Medicago truncatula: one gene and its partner. The protein of the gene in region 1 interacts with the protein of each later gene in a pairwise test. Links are inferred from orthologs where the notes say so. Each region holds a gene or a part of one and is shown in the gene's direction. Other genes may lie near its edges.

Region 1 (11,774 bases):
TAATTGAACTAAATGAACCAAGAACGCAAATTTCACTTATCGGAATTTTAGAGATAAGTTTATCCGACAAACTATCACTTCAAAACTCTAGTCGACATGAAAGTATGTTTGTCCGTCGAATGAAACTCACCCAAACGACAAAGGTAACAAACAAAATCGTTCTAACCGTTGGATGTGACCTAATTGAACTTAGAATGAACTTGAAACCTAGTCAGCACGAAATGACATTCCTCCAACGACCAAAACGGACCCAACTAACTAACGGTATCAAATATAAACAATCTGACCGTTGAATGTGACCTAATTGGACTAAAAATGAAGTAGGAACTGAAATTGTGGTAATACAAAATGTTCGGACTAGATTTTGGTGGTCATATTCAATGTACCCATCTTTTATTCGGTTGCATCCGTTTTGGTGGTCAGAGCAATGTCTTTTTGTGGTGACTTGATTTTTGGAGGTATGGTTTGTTGGATTGACTTATACCAAAGATTTTGTATTACCACAATTCCAATTCCTACTTCATTCTTGGTCCAGTTAGGTCATATTTAAAGGTCAAATTAATTATATTTGATATTTTTAGTTGGTTGAGTCTGTTTCAATCGTCGTAGCAGGAATGTCATTCCATGTTCACTGGATTTTTAAAGAAATTATTTTACAGATTGACACCAACAATATAACAAAAATATAATCTAAATTCTTATTTTTTTTAATGACACCAGCAACAATCTTTATTATAGAAAAAAGTTGTTTATGAGTATAATTGGAAGAATGAATAAGTAAGTATAGATATACTAATCTAATTTGTTACACTTTCTAAAGGATAAAGGAGAAAAAATTGGACATGTATATACTCATATCGTGTTTGTTACACTTATATTTTAATATTTGAATTTACTCTTATCTATTTGTTATATGTGTTATTTGTATTGAAAGTTGAGAGTAATTTTGGGAACAAAAAAAGTTAGCCTAAAAGAGTCAAAATATGTTTCTTCTTTTTTAAAATATAGTGTTGATTATATATGAAGGGGATGCAAAATTTGGGCTGAATTCTTTATAATTTCAATTATACCTTTAACCAAACTTTTCTATATTAATATTATATTATTGTTGTATTAAAAAAGATAGAGATTTACATATTTGTTAAATTATTGTTGTTATTGAAAAATATAAACACAGTTTTTTGGGTTTCTTACGATTTGAAAGTCACAAATATTTTTACTTATAGTTTTAGTCAAAATCAAAATTTCATATAAAATATCATTCATAATTTACACGTGTTAGCGCAATAAAAAAACCAAAAAGACAGACACGTCGCCGACAAACATAAGGACAATTATTAATAACGATTTTAAAATCCAGTCTTGTAATTTTTTTATTATATACGGTGTAAATCCATCTGTTTCAGAGTCTTTCCGCAACATCCAAAGGCCATAATTCTACTATATTTTTCAACAGTAGTATTTTTGTTCATTGATTAAATCACCCTTTTTAAATGAAACTATAAATACCATAATGTTTATCAACAATACAAATTTTAACATGTCAACTTGTGGGACCTTTTAGATCCATCCCTGCCGTTTGCTTATAAAAGTAAATCCAACGGTATCTAAACAACTTGCAACAAAAAAAAAAATTAAAAGGTTTTGCACGGTGAGAGACTTATAATGGTCTCGTGCCGTAGCTACATCCTTACTTTCAATATTATTTTATGATGTCAACTTACCAATACCCTTTTCATTTATAACAAACTTATTACTTAACACTATTTTCTAAAGAAAAACATTGTCTCCTTAACTTTAAAAGGAGCCAATTTCACCTAACACATAACATATAATGAAAGGAGGAGGGGCTAGAGAAAATTGAAGAAGGATATACATGCAATTCTCCATAATGCAAATTAACTGAACATTTCAAATGCATTGCAATATATATACATATGTAATTTTTTTAAGTAACATAGTGGTTAGATTCACACACATTATATAAGAAAAAATAGAGAATTCAGAGTTCAAACCACAACCTCTACATATAATATCCGTAGTAACTACCAAATACCAATTGAATTACACTTAATTGACAATCACCATTTTCCAATCGCCATGCAGCACTCCTATAGAAAAACATCATAATGCATGAATGCTTGACAAAAATATTTTCTAGTTTTAATTAACTTCCCAAGTTTTTTAAGGGGAATTAATTTCCCAAGGTAAGAGCACAACTTCCTTAAAATATTTTAGGGTGTGTTTGGTATGGAAGAGAAGTTGTGAAGAGAGAAATAGGTAAGAGAGTATGGGAAGAGAGAAGTATCTGAGAAATAGAGTAGATTAGAGGGGTTGTTTGGTATAAGAGATAGAGAGAAGAAATAGAGAAGAGAGAAGTATTATCTGTTTTGAAAAGTACTACAATGCCCCTATGTTGAATAACATTTTCAACCAAATTAATTTATTATTTTATTTAATTACATTTAATTAATTAATTCCACTACTTATTTTAACTAAATAGATTTTTTTTATAAAAGAATAAATGAAATATATAATTTTAAAATTACTACAATACCCTTAGGTTATAAATTTCAATTTAATTTGTGTTTGAATCTATTAATTAGTTTATTTAATTACTTAATATATTAACCACGTTAATATAATTTTATAATTACATATGAATTGTAAAACCAACATGTACCATTTCTAATCATTTAGCTCCTGGTTCTTTATCCAAAAAAAATAAAAATGTCTTGTTTCCTTATGAAAATAATGCTTATCATTTCTTCAAAAAATAATAAAAATATTGACAAATTGCACCACCTATTCTCTATCTACAAATACTGACTGATCATTTGAGATGGCAAATCAGCTGAGAACATGAGGGTGTGATAGAAACTAGGTAAAAGACAAGAGTAAGGTGGTAATAACACACATATATTGCTTCTCTCCCCTCTTTCTTCTCAAACCAGCGAAGAAACAAAAAGAGGTGGGACCCATGGCTTTTTAATCTGTCTCCCGTGTTTCTCTGCTGCACAAAACAAAAGAAAGACCAAACTTCTCATCTTATTCTCTCTACTCTATTTCTCTCTCTCCTATTTCTCACCAACCAAACACAGTGAATGCAATATGGATATGGATGAATAGTAAACTAAGGGTCTGTTTGGTTGAAGAGAAATAAGAAAGAGAGAAAGAGGGAAGAGAGAAATAGAGAAGAGATAGTAACTTTCTCCTGTTTGAAATGCAGAGAAAGAGAGAAGAGAGACTAAAAAACTGTGGGACCCACTGCTTTTTGTTTTCTCCACAAAACAGAGAAGAAATGGGAGAGAGAAGGGTCATATTTTTGTTATTCCATTTTTACCCTTGTATTTGAATTTCATTTATGACTTATTATCTTTCCTGCAAATTGCAACAATGATTATGGAATATGAAGGATAAAACAAAGGAAAGTTATAGAAGACAAGTTGAAGGTATCATTTGTTAGTGGTAGACGAACAATTTTTTAAGCAAAATAGAAAAATAGGAGTAAATGACCTTGAAGGCAGTGGTGTTGAGATTGGAAGAAGTCTCTGGCACACGTGAAATGGTGAATGCCATATATGGAGGAGGAGCATGGGTGAAAGATAATTAAGGCTTTTTTAAATGTTTATTCATACTTATACCTTCACTTTTTTCTCGTCTTGTTCTTATTAATAAGATGAGTTTCAATAAGAATAAAAAATGAGTTCTAATTTATTTGGATGAAATTACAAATTAATTAAATAATCTTCATCTTTTGTAAAAAATTCATCATCATCGTCAACAATTTAGAATAGAAATTGGATTAAGTTATTTAACAAATTAATTTTGATTGAAGGTTTATTAATTAGGGTATTTTCGTACTTTTAAAAATAATCAACAATTCTTTCATCTCTATTTCTTTTATATCTCTCTACTACCAAACAATACATCAAATCTACTTTATTTTTCATCTTTTTCTCTCTTCCCTTTCTCTCTCTTACCTATTTCTCTCTTCACAACTTCTCTTCTTAACCAAACACACCTAAGAGTAACATTCAATGCAATAAAAGCAATATAATCATAATAAGTTCACAATTCCAAATTTTCTCTCAAAAAAAAGTTCACAATTCCAAATGTCACAAAAAAAAAAAATTGGTGGTCTCAAATATAAGAAAAAATATAGTAAAATGAACCTATTAAATGCCACAATTCCAAGTTTATCCTCATTAAACCCACTTCATCATTAATGTCTTTACTGCTCCAAAACAATGGTATAATTGAAAAATATTACTTTTTATAATGACTTAAATGTGGTCAATCCACTTTCTTAATATGTGTGCATTTCTTTTTTGTTTCTTACAAGACCGGAGGGAGTACGTTTTTCTATAAATATTCTACTCCCTCCGTTTTAAAATGAACGTCGTTTAATGTTTTTATACACAAATTAAGAAATGCGTTAATTAAAAGAAAGAGAAATGTTATTTTACTAAATTATGCTAATCAACTATTGGTTCTTTTTTCATTAAAGAAAAAAATAATATTTTAGAAGTAGTGTATATAATATTAATTGAATGGTACAATTGAAAATAAAAAGTTATTATTGCATTTGAAATTGAAAGTGACATTTATTTTGAAACAATTTTTTTTTTTTGTATAATACTCTCTTATTTAAAAAGATGAGAAATTGTACCCCAATTATTCACTTTACAAAATTTTGATTAAAGGTAACGAGAAAATTAAAAAACGAAACCTGTTTTTCTTTATTTGTCAATTTTTTGTTCATTCTTGTAGGGAAAGTAGAAATAAAAAGAAATTGTATGTTAACCATTAAGGCATAATTACCGATGTCTAATTTTGTTCCAATAGCATAATAGCAAAGTTTTAGTTTTTTCTTTTAGGAAAACAGCAAAGTTTTTGTTAACCGGTAGAAATTTAATTATAGAATCCAAATATAAATATATTAAATATAAATTAAAGCATTTAATATATTTCAAATGTTTAAAAATCTAATAATTTCCCTTTTTGATAAGGATTTTTAATGAACAATAATATCATGAAAGAAAGTACTAGCTGAAACACATCGATCCATCCAAAATTACGAAAAGAATTATAAGTAGGAGCTTCTACGGTGCAGTCAGAAAACTAACTTTTACAATAAAAAAACTCATTTGGTAACATTTTTTTTCCTCACAAGTATATTGTTTATTTTTACTAACTTATAACTTATTTTGGTAAGATAATTAAATTAATTTCTACTTTAAAACTTATCGCATATTATTTTTTTTCTCAATTTTATACGTGATCATCGTAGTTGGCAAAAATTATATGTTAATTAAACATATCTTTTTACGTCGTTTCATATTTATAAAATAGTTCAACCATTAATTTTGTGAATCACTATAAATTTAAATGGCTAATTTATCAGGAAATTACAAGCTAACTTATAAGCTAAGCGTTATAACCTCATTCGTTATAAGTTAGCTTATCAATTATCCAACATTTCTTACCAAAGAGAGGTTTAGAGAGAAAGGGATTTTGGGAAATGAAAGAAGAAGAAAAAACGAACAACAACAACAACAACAAAAACTCCAAAGGTTAGTTTAAGTGGTAAGATCATGAAGTCTAATGTCTGAGTTCCGTTAATATCTTTAAAAAGAGTAAATGCAATCACATTATAATTTGTATTTAAACCCTATGATGTCTTTCGTGCATGTGCATGTGCATGTGCATGATCCCCTCACCGTAAGTTTAAATACGATCAAAATAAATATAAAAGATACACAACTTTAATATGATACATTGACATGTAATATCGCAATATTCTTTTTAAACATCAAACATATATCAAAATATAAATTTAACTCTCCAAAATCTTCCCTCCAAAATTCTCAAAAAACCAATTCGCAAACACAACCATAAGGTAAATTTAGTGGTAAAAAGACATCTATTGAAACGGAATTTTACGCATACATACCTTTTAATATCTTTAGAAAATGTAAATATTTTTATAAACACTATTTTTTTTTGGTTACTTTTATAAACACTATTTCAATCTAAGGTTTATTTTTGTCTTAAACCGAACATTATCCTTAACATCCTTAACCTTAAAATTAATTTTCATTGTCATATTCATTAGAGAGAAAAAAAGAGAGACATTATATAAAAGAGAGAGGTGACAGTTTATGCAGGAGTTAGGGAGAGATAGTACAGATCTGTTTGACCAAAAGCATTCACAACACAAATCAGGTTCTTTCTTACTTCTAATCTTAAACTCTCCAATTTCCAACATCATCATCAAACATCATCGTATTCATTTTTTTCATAGTAATAACAAAAACACCCATTAACCATTTTTTCTCTCTCTTCTTAACAAAACAAAATAAAAATCAAATTTTTCAGAGCTTGAAGAAGAGAAACAACAATGGAAGGAGGAGGAGCTCCACCAGCTGACACCGTGATGTCAGATGCTGCACCGGCGCCGCCGCAGATGGGGATCGAGAATATTCCGGCAACCCTTAGCCATGGGGGTAGGTTCATTCAATACAACATTTTCGGTAACATTTTTGAAGTTACTGCAAAATACAAACCACCCATCATGCCAATCGGTAAAGGCGCTTATGGTATTGTTTGGTATGTTATACCCTTTTTTTCTCTTTTTCATTTTTCAGATCAAATTCATCATAAAGTTTGTTTTTTTTTTTTATATGAAAATTTGATTTTTATTATTTTTTTATTTGTTGGGATTGGAAAAATGGATTTTGTTTATGGTTTTGTGTTTCATTTTGGGGTGTATGTGAATAGCTCTGCTCATAATTCGGAGACAAATGAACATGTTGCGGTTAAGAAGATTGCAAATGCATTTGACAACAAGATTGATGCTAAGAGGACTCTCCGTGAAATCAAGCTGCTTCGCCATATGGATCATGAAAACGTTAGTGAGTAATAAATCATTGTTTTTTTTGTTTTGTATGTGTGTGTGTGATGATTGAATAAGTATACTTTGTTGCATGATATCTATCTATTGTGGTTTGAGATTAACTTGTTTATTGGATCCTGATCTGTGTGTTTGAGTGTTTCAAAATCAATCAACCATTTTGTTCATATGATGTAAATGGTATATGTGTTACGTGTTCCTTTTTAGCTGTGAAACAATTTTAGCTTTGAAGCTACTTAGGGGGTTAGTTAATGGCTTCAAGGCTACATCCATTAGTTCCTTACATCTGTTTGCCCATTTGTTTTAGCTTTTGTAAGGTTTCGGGCAGGATTTTAGTGGAAGCAAGAATAACTTAATTTGGTAAAATATGCATCGGAAAATGTTTTTCTTCAATTGCTTCCGCTGAAACAAACCGCGATGGGTTATACAAACATTGAGACCAAAATGCATTTGTTAGTTTTATATATCATACTTGCTTGATCCGTATTTACCAAAAGTAAAATTATTGTCGTTGATATTGAGACCAATATGCATTTGTTTGTTTTATATATCATACTTACTTGATTGGCATTTATGAAAAGTAAATCATTGCCGTTGACAATTAGTGGCGCGTGCAAGATTGGGTGTGAATCGTAAACAACACGACAAAATTCATTCCAAAAGGAAAATCAATGATGAACGCCTATTACTGTTTGATATCCTTGCAATAATTGATTAGTTTATCCTCTTTTATGTAGCAGTTATTTTCCATCTTGGCACTGTCTTAACACGCGTATTTTATTGATTTTGCACGTGACTTTAGGTGCTTTTTATGTTATAATACACACGTCACGTATTTTACTTGTCGCTTAGTGCCGGTGAGTGTTGTCAAATAGTGAATATAGCAGCTCAATAGCATAGAAGAATTGGAACAAATAGCTATTGTTCCGCGATCCTCTATTTAGTACAAAGTGTTGTCAAATAGGCATAGCCACTATTGCGAAGCTATAAAACGGTAGCATAGCAGAATTCGAACGAAACACTTTTTTTTTGCAATCATTGATTAGTTTGTCCTCTTGTAAGGAGTCTTGGATGGAGCAGTTATTTTCCATTCCGACACTGTCTTAACATGCGTAATTTATTGATTTTACATTTGACTTTAGATGCTTTTTACGATACACGTAACTTGTCGTTTGTGTAGTGCCGGTCAGTGTTGTCAAATAGCAGATATAGCAGCGCTATATCATAGCAGAATTTGAGCAAATAGCTATTGTTCTGCGATCCGCTATTTATTTCAAAGTGTTCTCAAATAGCCACTATTGTTCCGCGATCCGCTATTTATTTCAAAGTGTTCTCAATTAGCCGCTATTGTTCCGCGATCCGCTATTTAGTACAAAGTGTTGTCAAATAGCCGCTATTGTGGTGCTATAGCACGGTAGCATAGCAGAATTTGAATAAAACACTGTTTTTTGCACTATGCGATTGTTATCACTGGTGCCGGATGATAGAATGTTTTTCTGTAATTAAATTAAAAAGTTTGACACGACAAAATTCTGTCCAAAAGGAAAATCAATGATGAGCGCTTTTTTTTTTTACTTAATGAAGAGCGCGTGTTTCTATTTGATATTCTTGCAATCATTGATTAGTTTATCCTCTTGCAAGGAATCTTGGATGGAGCAGTTATTTTCCATTCAGACACTGTCTTAACATGCGTATTTTATTGATTTTTTGTTTGACTTTAGATGCTTTTTACAATATGCCAAACATGACACTTGTCGCTTGTGTAGTGCCGGTCTGTGCTATCAAATAGCTGATATAGTGGCGCTATAGCATAGCAGAATTTGGAACAAATAGCTATTGTTCTGCGATCCTCTATTTAGTACAAAGTGTTGTCAAATAGCCGCTATTGCGGTGCTATATCATTGTAGCATAGCGAAATTCGAACAAAATGCTAATTTTTGTGATCTGCAATTTACTACACGTGTGCCGGTTGATAGACGCTGGTTTTCTATACAGAAGGGTTGCTACTTTTTGTTTTGTAATTTTAGCGACAAAAGGGAAAAATGTGTTCATTCTTTGGTCATATAAGTCTATAGCGTGTCTTATATTTTAGGGGCTGGATGCAGGACAAACGGGGTGTCCAATATCTTCATGAGGAGAAATACCAAAACTTGTTAGCATTAGAAATTCTTGTTTTAACTGGCATTTTGGTTTGCCTAATGTAATTATTTTGTAGGTGGTTGCAATCAGGGATATAGTGCCACCACCCCAGAGGGAGGTATTCAATGATGTTTACATTGCATATGAGCTAATGGACACTGACCTTCACCAAATCATTCGATCAAATCAAGCACTATCGGAGGAGCACTGTCAGGTATACATTTAAATAAACCACCCCTTTTAAAATAACCTATTTATCGCGGAGATTATTAAATCTTATCCATGACACCATTATAAGCTCCTTTTTTTGCTTCTTCTGCAGTACTTTCTGTACCAAATCCTTCGTGGTTTGAAGTACATACATTCTGCAAATGTTCTGCATAGGGACTTAAAACCCAGCAACCTTCTCCTGAACGCCAACTGTGACTTAAAGATTTGTGATTTTGGACTGGCCCGTGTAACATCTGAAACCGATTTTATGACTGAATATGTTGTTACTAGATGGTACCGTGCACCAGAGCTTCTGTTAAACTCTTCTGATTATACAGCAGCAATTGATGTATGGTCTGTTGGTTGTATTTTCATGGAACTGATGGATCGAAAGCCTTTGTTTCCTGGCAGAGATCACGTGCATCAGCTGCGTCTACTCATGGAGGTAACTTCTTTATCCGTCTTTGGTGTTTGAAGAAGTTTAAGAGTTATTGATTTCATTAGCTTTTGTAGTTCAAATGATTAACCTGCTGATTTTGAAACCAACACATTCTTGAATTGAAATTCATCGCAGTATCATTCTTGAGTATAATAATTAGTCAGGTTAAATTTCATTAAATTATGTCAATTATTGAGTACCATCAGATCCTTTTGTTGAAATATTGTCATTGTTAGCCTTGATACTATTTGATCTGACATTTATTTTGTTTTATTTCAATTCCTTAAATCACTCATTAATTTATGAAGTGTTTTTATGCACTCTCTCCGATGAAAGGAGCACCATTCTCATTGGAATAAATAATTACAGAATATTTCAACACCTTCATTCTAACCTATGTTTTTAATGGCGCCGCACTTGCGGAGTGGCAATGACATTCGGTGCAATACTCTTTATTCATCTGCAACAGTTGCAGTGTTAGCGGCTGCGAACCGCGGCTGCGTTTCCATCAAGTAGAAGACTTTCCGGTCACAATCTGCGGTTTTCAGACCACCATCCTTATCTATTGAGAAGAAACGAAAAAGAAAGAAGAAATGTGGTATGAGGACGAAAACATGGAGGGGCACAACAGACAGTGTGGAGGCGGTGACTGATACACACCTATTGGGGATGATGTTTTATATTTAGGGTTTAGAGAATGGACATTGTAGCTTTAGGGTTTGTTTCACATAATGGGCCTGTTATAAACCACACAATGTGCCAAGTATGTTCGCAATGTCTAACAGATGTTTACTGTGGGTAATAGAGTATAATTAACTTCAAAAAATTATTCATATACATACATAGTATAATTTAAAATAAATTATTAAATGTCAGTTAAATTGAATTATTAAGTATAATTGTCCCTATTTAAAAATAAAAAAAAAGTATAATTGTCCCTTTTAATTTTTTATATTTTTCTATTTGAGTATTTATGTATCTTGTTGGAATTTATGTTTACTCCATTTTTTGGGATTTACAACATAGTTCAAAACGATGATATGGATATATATAGTTTGGACATTATTTGATTTTTCTATAGGAGTATTTATGTATCTTGTTAGCCCGTCCATTATTAAGATATATATAGTTTGCTTTTGACAGTATGCTTTGAAATCAATGTATCAATATAACTGCAATGCTTCATATTTTACAGTTGATCGGTACCCCGTCAGAAGATGATTTGGGGTTTCTGAATGAAAATGCTAAGAGATACATTAGGCAACTACCTCCTTACCGCCGTCAATCTTTCCAAGAAAAGTTTCCGCAAGTCCATCCTGAAGCTATAGATCTTGTTGAAAAAATGTTAACTTTTGATCCAAGAAAAAGAATTACTGGTAAGTTCTCATTGCCTGAGGCTCTGTATTGATGGTTATAGATATAATGATGTCCATATGCATACTTCATGATTTTCATAGTTTCTGGCATCATCAGTTCTTATTAAATGTTGTCTATTCAGTTCATCTATTATCAGTTGATAATTTGCATCTACATGCTGCATCTGAATGCTTTTGTTTTTGCTTTTGGGATGCCCAATTTATACTGATTTTATATTCTTCAGAAATCGGTTGTTTATGATTTCATCTGTTAAACGTATTCTATTTCTATTGATATGTGACATTGCAAACCTATTTCTTTGCTTACCTTTGGTTAGAATCAATTAATAGGATGTAAGTTTAGTTTGTTGGTCTTTTTACAGTTTTCCTTGCACCTATTAATCGTGAAGAATGAAAAGCATAGTCACATTCGTAGATAAATTTTTGATAGTGTTGAAAATGAAAAGAACCTATAAACTTTAAAAAGATGAAGCCACATAGAGAGCAATTATAACTTCTATGTCTTAAGGCGTTTTCAATTTTTGGGATATACAATAGTATAGCTTTTGTAATAAATGATGTCATTATTTTATCTCTTATATAGATTGATGTAATTTTGGAGAAAAAAAAAAAAAGCTAAGTAAATGATCATGTTCCTTTAGTTGAAATTTTTGGATCAAGAGAGTTTTGGAAGTACCCAACTTATGAAGTGCAG
Region 2 (10,981 bases), on another chromosome or scaffold:
GTAAAAAACAGGTATTATATCCATATGATTTGATCTAGACGTTGATTTATTGATGATTTTGTGGGGGCATGTTTAGACTTCGCACGTAAAATTAGAATGATGATTTTCAAAAATTCATAATTATTGATGTTTTTCTAACAAAGGATGCAATAATTATGAATTTTTAAAAGCGTCAAAAACTCATGAAAAAACAAAATCATGAAAATCTCAAGCTATAAATTAAATTTTGAGTTGATTTTTTGCACACTCCTCGATAAAACTACATAGAGAGGATCTACAAAGTTTTATAGTATTCTGAATATGCCTCGATTTATTTTGATTTTTCAATCAAAATTGCAATTTTGCTATGAGTTGGCATGTAATCATAGGTCCAATTTAATTCACTAATTTTTCTAGCATGATTACAACATAATAAAGTTCACCTCTAAATTTTGGAGTTTTTAAACGAGTGACAAATTAATTATGAATTTTCATTCCCCAAAATTATGAATTTCTTAAACAATTCATAATTAATTCACCTCTTGTTTAAATCTCTAAAAATTTTATGTTGAAGGTTCTTATGATGTTCTAACCATGTCTATAAAATTAGGGAATAAAATTTGACCCGTGAATATATGCTTACTCAAAATAAATTTCAATTTTGCATGTTGTTGTTGAAAAATTAAATTAAATTAAGGTGTAGTTGAAATGCTACAAAACTTTGTTGATCCTTTCTATGTATTTCTATATTGGTGTTTACAAAAAATCGACTTAAAATTTGATTTCTAGGTCAAAATTTTTGTTTTTTTTTTTTTTTGCTTTCGATGCTTTAAAAATTTATGATGGATATGTCCCTAGTCTTAAATTCTAGTTTTATGTGGAAAATCATATTTTAACATCATAAACCTGCCTAAAAAAAAAAAGAAATTGAAAGATTCAACTTTAGGTCATTTTTCTCGACTGTATGAGTACAAGGAGAAATAGGAGGTCAAAAATTGGAAGAATATCGAGTTATATGTGTAGAATTTGTCCTCCTCATCATTAGAAGTTGAGTCGCCGCCTGCTGCCCCCCACCCCCAAACCTTTTGAATTTTCTCAATATTGTCCATTCCAACCTTCTTCAAAATAAGGGCCCTATAGTGGAGGAACTTATCTCGATGACACTGCTTCTGAATATGTGATATATGAAGAAGCTTGATCTCTTAAATGTTCATAAACATCATTAGCTTCAAGGACCTCAACATCATTACTGTTATGAGTAACTTGATCCTCTTTGAAAACCTTCATGTTGTACTGTGCATTATCAATAATCACATGATAAAAATTTGGTGATTGTACAGCCACTCCTTGTGATTGTTTGTTTGTATCTTGTGCATCATCATCATTAGCAACAAGCATTTCCTCTGGTTGTTTGTTTGTGTCATTCACCTTAAGTGCATTCAATGTTGGCATCTCTGTATCCTTGGGAGGATCATGAATGGTGATCGGTTGTTTGGAATAATTCTCCTTGGGCTCGAGCAAGTTTGACACGTACTGAGTCTCCCTTAATGCAAGGTTTGATCATCATTGACAAGAGTTTGCACAAAGGTGTGTTGTTATTGTTTTTTTTTAACAAACAAAAATGATATGTATTATAAACAAGTTGTTTAGTTACCCTGCAAAAGGTAAACCAACCAACACAAAACAACAAGATGGTGTCGTTCTTAATAAAGCACCAGGAAAGAGTTATAGTCAATTACACAGTAACATCCATACAAGGAAGTGGATTTTTCCACCAATCATGATAACTATAATTAAAAGATATCTGCGGAATAATCACAAGCTTCATTTTGGAACACACAGTTGTTTCTTTCCTTCCAAATAGCCCACACGGTAGCAAACCAAATTATTTTCAAGGAGTAGGTGGCTCTAGGCAATCTAGCCATATTAGTAAATTGAAGTAAATGTTGTCGACTTTCACCTGGGAGCACCGCAGAAAGACCCATCCAATGTAACACATGGGACCAAAGCAAACTAAAAGTGTTGCAACCAAAAAATAAATGGGATGCGGTTTCTGGTTCACCGCAACCAAACACACAAACCGAGTCAGATATCAGCAAAGCACGTCGCCGCACCAAATTATCTCGTGTGGGCAATCTATTCCGTAGGAAGCGCCACGAACAGACACCTTTGAAGGGATAAACTTGTGCCATACATCAACTACCATCGACCTGTCCACCGGGTTACCATTGTTGGTGAGAAAGTTGTAAGCCTCCCGAACTGTGTAACGATGAGAAGGATGTAATAACCACCTCCTGCACCGTGTGTTGTTATTTTATTTTTTTTTGTAAACTCGGTATCCGACGTGTGTTGTTATTCTTGTTGGTGGTGATGAGGCTCCTTGGGCTCATTGACAGAATTCATACATCTCCAAGTGCATATCGGCAAATCAATGGCCATGGTGGCAAAGCCCTAGGTCAGAAAGGGCGACACCTACTACAGTAACCACTGATCTCCAATCTGAACATGATTGATTGACTCAAGCAGGCTGCAGTTACAACGTGACTTGATTTGCACCAAAATAATCCACCGATGAATTAAATAATATTAACACAATACACTGAAAATAATGAAAATGATGGATGGAAGCAATTGATGATGCCCACCAACCGAATTGCAAGATGCAAATGTTGATCAGTGGAAACAAGATGGAATAATGTATATATTCATGTAAAATTGCTCATATAATTTTGATAATCGACACTCATGTTAGGGAAACCTAGCAGACTTTAAAAGTGTTGAACAAAACATAACCGTAGAGATCCTTAAACATTATTACTGATTGCTGAAAATTAATAATTTATTACGAATAATTCTTTATTTCGTATGCCACTTTCCAACATTATCAGTACAAAATTCTAATTCTTTAACTAGTAAATTATGTGATTTCTCCTGTCTTCAATATAAAACATATGGGTGATCGACGCATGGTAAGGTGAAGATTACTAAGTTTCATATCTGAATTTTCAAGAATATGGACGATTTTTGAATGCACAAAGCAATTTATGGAGAACAAATATTGAACATTCCTAAGTTTTTTGGAGAAGGATATGATTTTATTTATATTTTTATAAAAAAAAATTAGTTATTCACCATCTTTCAATAACAATTGATGTTGTTCATTCATCCTCTTCATTGATCTAATCTTCAAAAACAACTCCTCTTTCTCAATTTAACTAAAGGGAATTCCTTCAACTTCCAACTTGGTTACCTTAGCCTCCAAGGTTGTCTTCTCATCGGATAAACCCTCTGCCTAGGCTTTATATTCACTTTTCCTGTGAGGTTCATTCTGCTTAGAAGCAATCGCCTAGCTATCATCCTTCTTGGCGAGCCTCGTCAACTTCTCTTGAAGGTTAGACATGGCGTATGCGAGCAAGACAAGAAAGCTAAGTTAATAACCAATGCACAAAAACAAAATATATATCAAGTTAAAAAAATACAAACTTTACATAGCAAGGTCCTTGCCTCTAAGGCATTCGAACACCTGACAAGCTTGAAGTTGTCGATGAAACAGGGCTCGGTAATAGGCGAACCCTCAAAGTCATACAGAGACTCCTACTTTACTGACTACGACTGCATAAGGGATTAGGCTAAAATCATAAGCCCATAACTTATTATAGTTATTGGTCTCCTTCGCCCACAACTGCTCGTGAAACTTTTTAAATCGGTTAAACCAATTTAAAAAGTGATTGGACCGATCTAATGAAATGACATTTTGTAACGCCCTAGTCATTATTTTATTTATTTTAGAATTATTTAGAGTCTTTTATGTGTTTTTAAATAATATTTGTGATTTATGTGGTGTGTATTATTTTATTATATGATTTATTTTAATATAATGAGAATAATATGAGAAATAGAGTTATTTTGGAGTGTGGGGAGTTAATTAAGAATTAATAGAATTAAGGGGAGTTTAATGAAATAAAGGGGAGTTAAGTTTTGGAAGTTAAGAAAAAGAGAAGTCAGAAAAACGTTTTACGTGAAACAAGTTTTGGGAGAGAAGAACCAAGAACAAGGGGAGAGAAGAACAAGTAGAGCCAAGATCATCCGTGTGTCGTGCGATTTTCTGAATTAAGGTATGGGTGAGACTATCTCTCAATAATCATAGTATATAATTTCTGAAAATTGATCTAATTGAATTGTTCTTGAATAAAAATTGGGAATTAGGGTTGATGCTGATTTTGAAGGAAATGGTGTAAGAATCATGTTTAATGTGTTTAGTTTTCGTGTTCAGAATGATTTCTTAATCTATAATGTTGCTGTGATCAGAATTTGAGGGAGATTAGAATTGGTTGGGAAAATTGGAGAGGTTTTGTATGATTGCTAGAATGATCAGAATTGTTGTTGTTGATGTCTGTTTTGTGTTCCTTTAGATGCCTAGTTGTGTATTGAACCTGTAAACATCTGTTGGAAAACGTTTTGGGTGATCAGGGGACTAAAATTGGGTTTTGGAGTGAGGAGAGGTTTGAACCCGTAGGTTTTTGCACTGCCCAGATGAATGGTCGCTTAAGCGAACGACCCGTCGCTTAAGCGAGCATTCAAGCAAGCTGCCCAGAATTCTGTTTTGTCAGTTCGCTTAAGCAAACTGTGAGCGAGCCTGTAAGCAAAAAAATAATTCCATTCTGTCAAGAGTTCGCTCAAGCGAACTGTAAGCGAACCCGTAAGCGAAAAATCAATTTCATTCTGTCAGAAGTTCGCTTAAGCGTACCGTTAGCGAGCGGAACCCCAACTTTCTGTAAGCTGGTCGCTTAAGCGAACTAGCCGTCGCTTAAGCGAAGATGACCTTAGTCAGCCACCTTTTGAACTTTTGCCTCGTGCACTAGGGGATTCTTTTGAGTATTTTTAAATGTTCCTTTCAACTTGTAAGACCATTATATATACCCTGAATCCTACTTAACACATTGTTAATCGAATTGGTGGAATTTAATGAATTTTCGGATTGGAGTGAGTATGAAACCAAGTGAAAATATACTATGTTGAATGAACTTGATGTATTAGTATGATTGTTATTAATTATACATTTTTCTGATGTTGGATTGGTTTGTAATGATGTTGTTGAATTATGGAGTCGTATGTCATATATATATATATATATATATATATATATATATATATATATATATATATATATATACATTGTCGGGTTGTATGTAGATATACACAAGTGAAGTCAGTTGCATAAGCATAAAAGCGGGAGGGCTTCGGCCCTGGAACGCCTTGTCGTTCAAAGCGGTGGAACTCTTGTTGTTCAAAGCGGTGATGACTTATGTCCTGAAGGAATGCTTTAACCATTCAATAGCGGTCAGGACCTATGTCTTGAACGAATGCTTTAACCATTCAATTAGCGGTGAGGGCTTCGGCCCTGAATATGGTACCACATGCATAGTTGCAATTGTCGAGGAGTCTTAGAGGTGTTGTCATGTCATTGCATGAGTCGTTGTTGTTGGTTGAATTGCTATATTAATGATGATGTTGTTGATTATGAAATACTTATGCATATTGAATAATCATTGAAATTTTAGGGTGTTAGATTCAGTTGATGTTATTATATATTATTATTATTGTTTGTGAATCTCACCCCTTCTGCTTGAAAATGTTGCCCTTCCTATGGGTAACTTGCAAGTGATCCTGAGTAGCAGGTGGTGGCTCAAGTGTCTAGGGCTCTGATACGTACGGGATGGGAATTTCTTATTTGTTTTTCATTCCTTATGTATCAATTGTTGGAATTTGCTGATGTAGCCCTATGCTTGATTTTGTTGGATTTATTTTGATGAGGCTTTTATGCCAATATATTTTATGGAGGATTAAACGGTTAATGTTGTCGTTTTGATGCAAATATTCCGCTGCAAAATAATGATATTTTTGAAGGATGTTTTATTAAATAGTTTTATATTCTATTTAAGAAAATTTGAAAAATGAAGTGTGACATGCCCGTTTGGGTTATTACTCTGATGAATTATTTATTAATTAATTTCTTTGGGATAACGAGGTGTTACAATTGGTATCAGAGCAGGTTGGTCCGTCCGGCCAAGTAGTAGAGTCGTGTTGAGCCACCTAGGATAGAGTGTCAACTCTAATGTTGTCTTTGTTGTTGTTCTGAATGGTTGTTTCTTATGTAGAACTTTGAAATGGCTGGTCGTAATGATGAGAGGAGGCCCAAGAGGAGAGATGCTCCTGCTGAGATTGTTTGCTACAAGTGTGGTGAGAAAGGCCACAAAAGTAATGTTTGTACTAAAGATAAGAAGAAATGCTTTAGGTGTGGACAGAAGGGACACACATTAGCTGATTGTAAGCGGGGAGACATAGTTTGCTATAACTGCAATGAGGAGGGCAATATCAGTTCATAGTGTACACAATCGAAGAAGGTTAGAACCGGTGGTAAAGTGTTTGCTCTGACTGGTACGCAAACCACTAGTGAGGATCGACTTATCAGAGGTACTTGTTTCTTTAATAGTACTCCTTTAATTGCTATTATAAACACTGGTGCTACTCATTGTTTCATTGCTATTGAATGTGCTTATAAGTTGCGTCTGGTTGTATCTGATATGAGAGGGGAAATGGTTGTTGAAACTCCAGCTAAGGGTTCAGTAACTACTTCTCTTGTTTGTCTAAGGTGTCCGTTGTCTATGTTTGGTAGAGACTTTGAAGTCGACTTAGTTTGGTAGAGGATTAAACGGTTAATGTTGTCGTTTTGATGCAAATATTCCGCTGCAAAATAATGATATTTTTGAAGGATGTTTTATTAAATAGTTTTATATTCTATTTAAGAAAATTTGAAAAATGAAGTGTGACATGCCCGTTTGGGTTATTACTCTGATGAATTATTTATTAATTAATTGCTTTGGGATAACGGGGTGTTACACACTTAACTACCGTTTTGTGGCAAACGACAGTCTACTACTACGCATCCAACGGTAGTTGCATTTTTTGAGCAGTTAGTGGGTGCCTAAAGAGCAACTCTCTTCTCTTAGGCTTCACATATGTTGGGTTACTAGGCCCAATGGACTCTTCAACTATTGGATCGATAAACTCTTCAGCTGATGGTGGAGAATTGCTATCACACACACATAACCAATTTTATCAAAATATTTTAAAGTATGTATACCTATGCATTCCAAATCAATCAACTAAAACCAAAACCACAGGCAGAGCAAGCATTAGGTAGGAAGTCGCCGGGAAGAGTCATTTGGTGAAGTTGTGGTCCCCTTTGTCATCACAAAGTCAAGTTAAGATTTGAAAACAACCAAAACGACAATATTGTCACCAAGACCATTAATTATTGATATATACAAAGTAACAAAACGATGCTTCCTCTCTCCATCTTGGAATCTCTATAGAAGGCAACATTTTATTTACTTTATTGCTTTCTTTTAGTTTATTTCTTCTTTTCTTCCATTATAACCCCCTCATATTTATATACTCTTCACTCCTTATTTTCCACTCAACCAATTCCTCTCTCCATTCTAAATTTAGCACACTCCTCTCTTAAGTCTTAATCCTCTTCAAAAAAACAGAACAACCTCAATTTAGAAGTATGGAACAAAACATAGAATTCACTTTTTGGTCCTCAAACAACCTAGAAATTCAAAATTCAATTTCTCAAAGCAATAACATGAAACAAACACAAACCCATTTTCAAATCCCTCAAACCACTTTCTCCAAACCTCCAAGGTCATCCTCAAACCTAAGCAACCGCAAACCCTCCTTGAACATCACAATCCCTTCTATAACAAAACCTCTCCCACAACAAAACATAGTAAAAAGTGAAAACACCAACACCAAAGAGGATAATAAGCACTATAGAGGTGTTAGAAGAAGAACATGGGGAAAATTTGCTGCAGAAATCCGTGACCCTAATAGAAAAGGATCAAGAGTATGGCTTGGAACCTTTGATACAGCCATAGAAGCTGCAAAAGCTTATGATAAAGCTGCTTTCCAGATGAGAGGAAGTAAAGCCATATTGAACTTCCCTCTAGATGTTGCTACTGATTCTGTAGAATCATCACTTTCTAACTGCATCAAAGTTGGTAAGAAAAGACAAAGAGATGAAGGGAACTGTGTTGAGATTAATAATAATAATAATAATATTAAGCAAGTTAAGAAAGAAGAAGGGGTTTTAGCTGCTCCTTTGACTCCTTCATGTTGGAAAGGGTTTTGGGATACTGATGTTATGGGAACTATCTTCAGTGTTCCTCCTTTGTCACCCTTATCTCCACTCATGGGATTTTAAGATTAATTAATTAAGCCCTTGTAATAAACCAAGTTGTTTGGACTTCGGTGATAAGGAACTCCTTCCAAGAACATACCTGAGGAATACTGGGTTCGATTTCCAGGGGAAGCAATGCTTGGCTAGTGCGCATGCCTCTACACATGAGCCAGATTAGTCGCTCACCTTTGATGGGTTGAAAACCGATGCTAAAGCCAAAAAAATAAAATTAAGCCCTTATAATCATGTTAAGGTGTTAATTAAAGTCCTTAAAGCCCTTATCTCCACTCATGGGATTTGTATCACATATATACTAGTTGTTGAAATAGGAGGAGTGTTAATAGTATATTTTTGTAGGTGAAGATTAGATATATATTGGTTGGTTTTAATTTTAGTGTAAATATAGGAAGATTGAAGCTAGTGTTTAATTCTTTTATGTATGTCCATTTGGTGAAAGAATATTGAAATTTGTTTATTCGTTTATTGGAGAAAACGTTGTCCATGAAACTACAGTGTATGTATGTAACTTATGTTATAATTCTGCATCTTTGAAGCAAAAAACTTGGCACACACATGCAATCATTGTGGTAGACACACATCCTGTGATGCGTTTCTCATACATGCTTTATAGAATTTTTATTCTTGTCAATTTTTAACTAGCTTCAATTCATTAAAATAAGATGCTAAAATTAATTAGAAATTATATTTGATCCATATGACATGGCAGTGCGGAAAACCGCATGAGAGAGGATGTATTCATGACTAAAGCTCTTGATATTTGTCCGGGTCAATTCGTCGATATTATAGGAAAGACTATGATATTTAATTTGAGGCCTGAAAAATATAAAACCGGGTCATTTTGGTATGCATGCTATCCCCAACTATATGCAATCTTTCATTTTGAAGAGAAATATATAAAAAAATACTTGTAAAAGTGTCACATATCCTTACCGATAAATCTAGGGTCGGATACCAAGTTGTTGGGTATTGGGCTCCCTTCCTATGTGGAGAAAAGACTAAATATGTTAGTTCATTATATCTCACTTATATAAGTATCTTCTTATATATCTTCTTATATATTAAAGTTAACATGTAAGTCCTAATTTTAACTTAAATCCTAATCTTCTTATCTTCTTATATATTAAAGTTAACATGTAAGCCCTAATTTTAACCTAAACCCTAATCTTCTTATATATTAAAGTTAACATGTAAGCCCTAATTTTAACCTAAACCCTATTGCATAATTTTACTGTTTTAACCCTAATGCTCACACCTAATCTCCTATTTTCATGAACAACCCTAATGCTCTCACCTAATCTTCTTATATATTAAAGTTAACATGTAAGCCCTAATTTTAACCTAAACCCTATTGCATAATTTTACTGTTTTAACCCTAATGCTCACACCTAATCTCTTCTTATATATTAAAGTTAACATGTAAGCCCTAATTTTAACCTAAACCCTATTGCATAATTTTACTGTTTTAACCCTAATGCTCACACCTCTTCTTATATATTAAAGTTAACATGTAAGCCCTAATTTTAACCTAAACCCTAATCTTCTTATATATTAAAGTTAACATGTAAGCCCTAATTTTAACCTAAACCCTATTGCATAATTTTACTGTTTTAACCCTAATGCTCACACCTAATCTTCTTATATATTAAAGTTAACATGTAAGCCCTAATTTTAACCTAAACTCTATTGCATAATTTTATTGTTTTAACCCTAATGCTCACACCTAATCTCATATTTTCATGATCAACCCTAATGCTCTCACCTAATCTTCTTATATATTAAAGTTAACATGTAAGCCCTAATTTTAACCTAAACACTATTGCATAATTTTACTGTTTTAACCCTAATGCTCACACCTAATCTCCTATTTTCATGAACAACCCTAATGCTCTCACCTAATCTTCTTATATATTAAAGTTAACATGTAAGCCCTAATTTTAACCTAAACCCTATTGCATAATTTTACTGTTTTAACCCTAATGCTCACACCTAATCTCCTATTTTCATGAACAACCCTAATGCTCTCACCTAATCTTCTTATATATTAAAGTTAACCCGTAAGCCCTAATTTTAACCTAAACCCTATTGCATAATTTTACTGTTTAAACCCTAATGCTCACACCTAATCTCCTATTTTCATGAACAAAGCAAATCGGCATCGCTTTATCTCCCCTATTTCTTCAAAACAAATCGCCCTATTTCTTCAACAAAACAAATCGCCCTATTGGAATATAAGGGTTTTGAAAGATTATAGCAATATTTTTTTTTGTTAATATTACACTTTTCATCCAAATTAGAACTGAACTCTCTTTGTTAAATATTTACCACAAAATGCACCAGAATTTTGCAATCTATATAAACAGGTGGAAGAAACATTTCAACAAACAGTTAAAGGGTATCATTTATGGTAAAGGCCAAATATTCGATAAAAGGAAAATTATTTAAATAAAACATTTTACATGTTGAGGTTAAGAATGAGCTATTTTTTGGTACATAATATAACATTAACATATAATTTTTACAAAAGAATGAAGTAACATTTTGTCAAAAAAAAAAAAGATGAAGTAACATACCAATAATATAACGTTGACATATAATTTTAACAAAAGAATGAAGTTACACACGATTGATAAAAATTAATATTTTTCAGGTGAATAAGTGTGGTGTATGAGGTTCGAATTCCAACATCTGCATATATTTGGACCACATATTTCATTCTCTTTGATATGCATTAAGATT

What was found.
Region 2: the proteins of mitogen-activated protein kinase homolog MMK1 (region 1) and ethylene-responsive transcription factor ERF104 interact in binary tests that used the Arabidopsis thaliana proteins (3 or more experiments, as listed by UniProt). The link is inferred for Medicago truncatula from reciprocal best matches to the Arabidopsis thaliana genes MPK6 and ERF104.

Annotation. Positions count from the first base shown.
Region 1 is NC_053045.1:42,369,032-42,380,805, forward strand, and holds the start of mitogen-activated protein kinase homolog MMK1, read left to right. Parts: upstream 1-6,067; 5' UTR 6,068-6,228; intron 6,229-6,381; 5' UTR 6,382-6,403; coding exon 6,404-6,612; intron 6,613-6,783; coding exon 6,784-6,913; intron 6,914-9,131; coding exon 9,132-9,269; intron 9,270-9,377; coding exon 9,378-9,710; intron 9,711-10,899; coding exon 10,900-11,080; intron 11,081-11,774. UniProt on the Arabidopsis thaliana protein: Mitogen-activated protein kinase (MAPK) which regulates abscisic acid (ABA) responses in a MAPKKK20-MKK5-MPK6 cascade involved in root growth (e.g. root cell division and elongation) and stomatal response.
Region 2 is NC_053042.1:19,258,619-19,269,599, reverse strand, and holds ethylene-responsive transcription factor ERF104, read left to right. Parts: upstream 1-7,408; 5' UTR 7,409-7,552; coding exon 7,553-8,248; 3' UTR 8,249-8,731; downstream 8,732-10,981.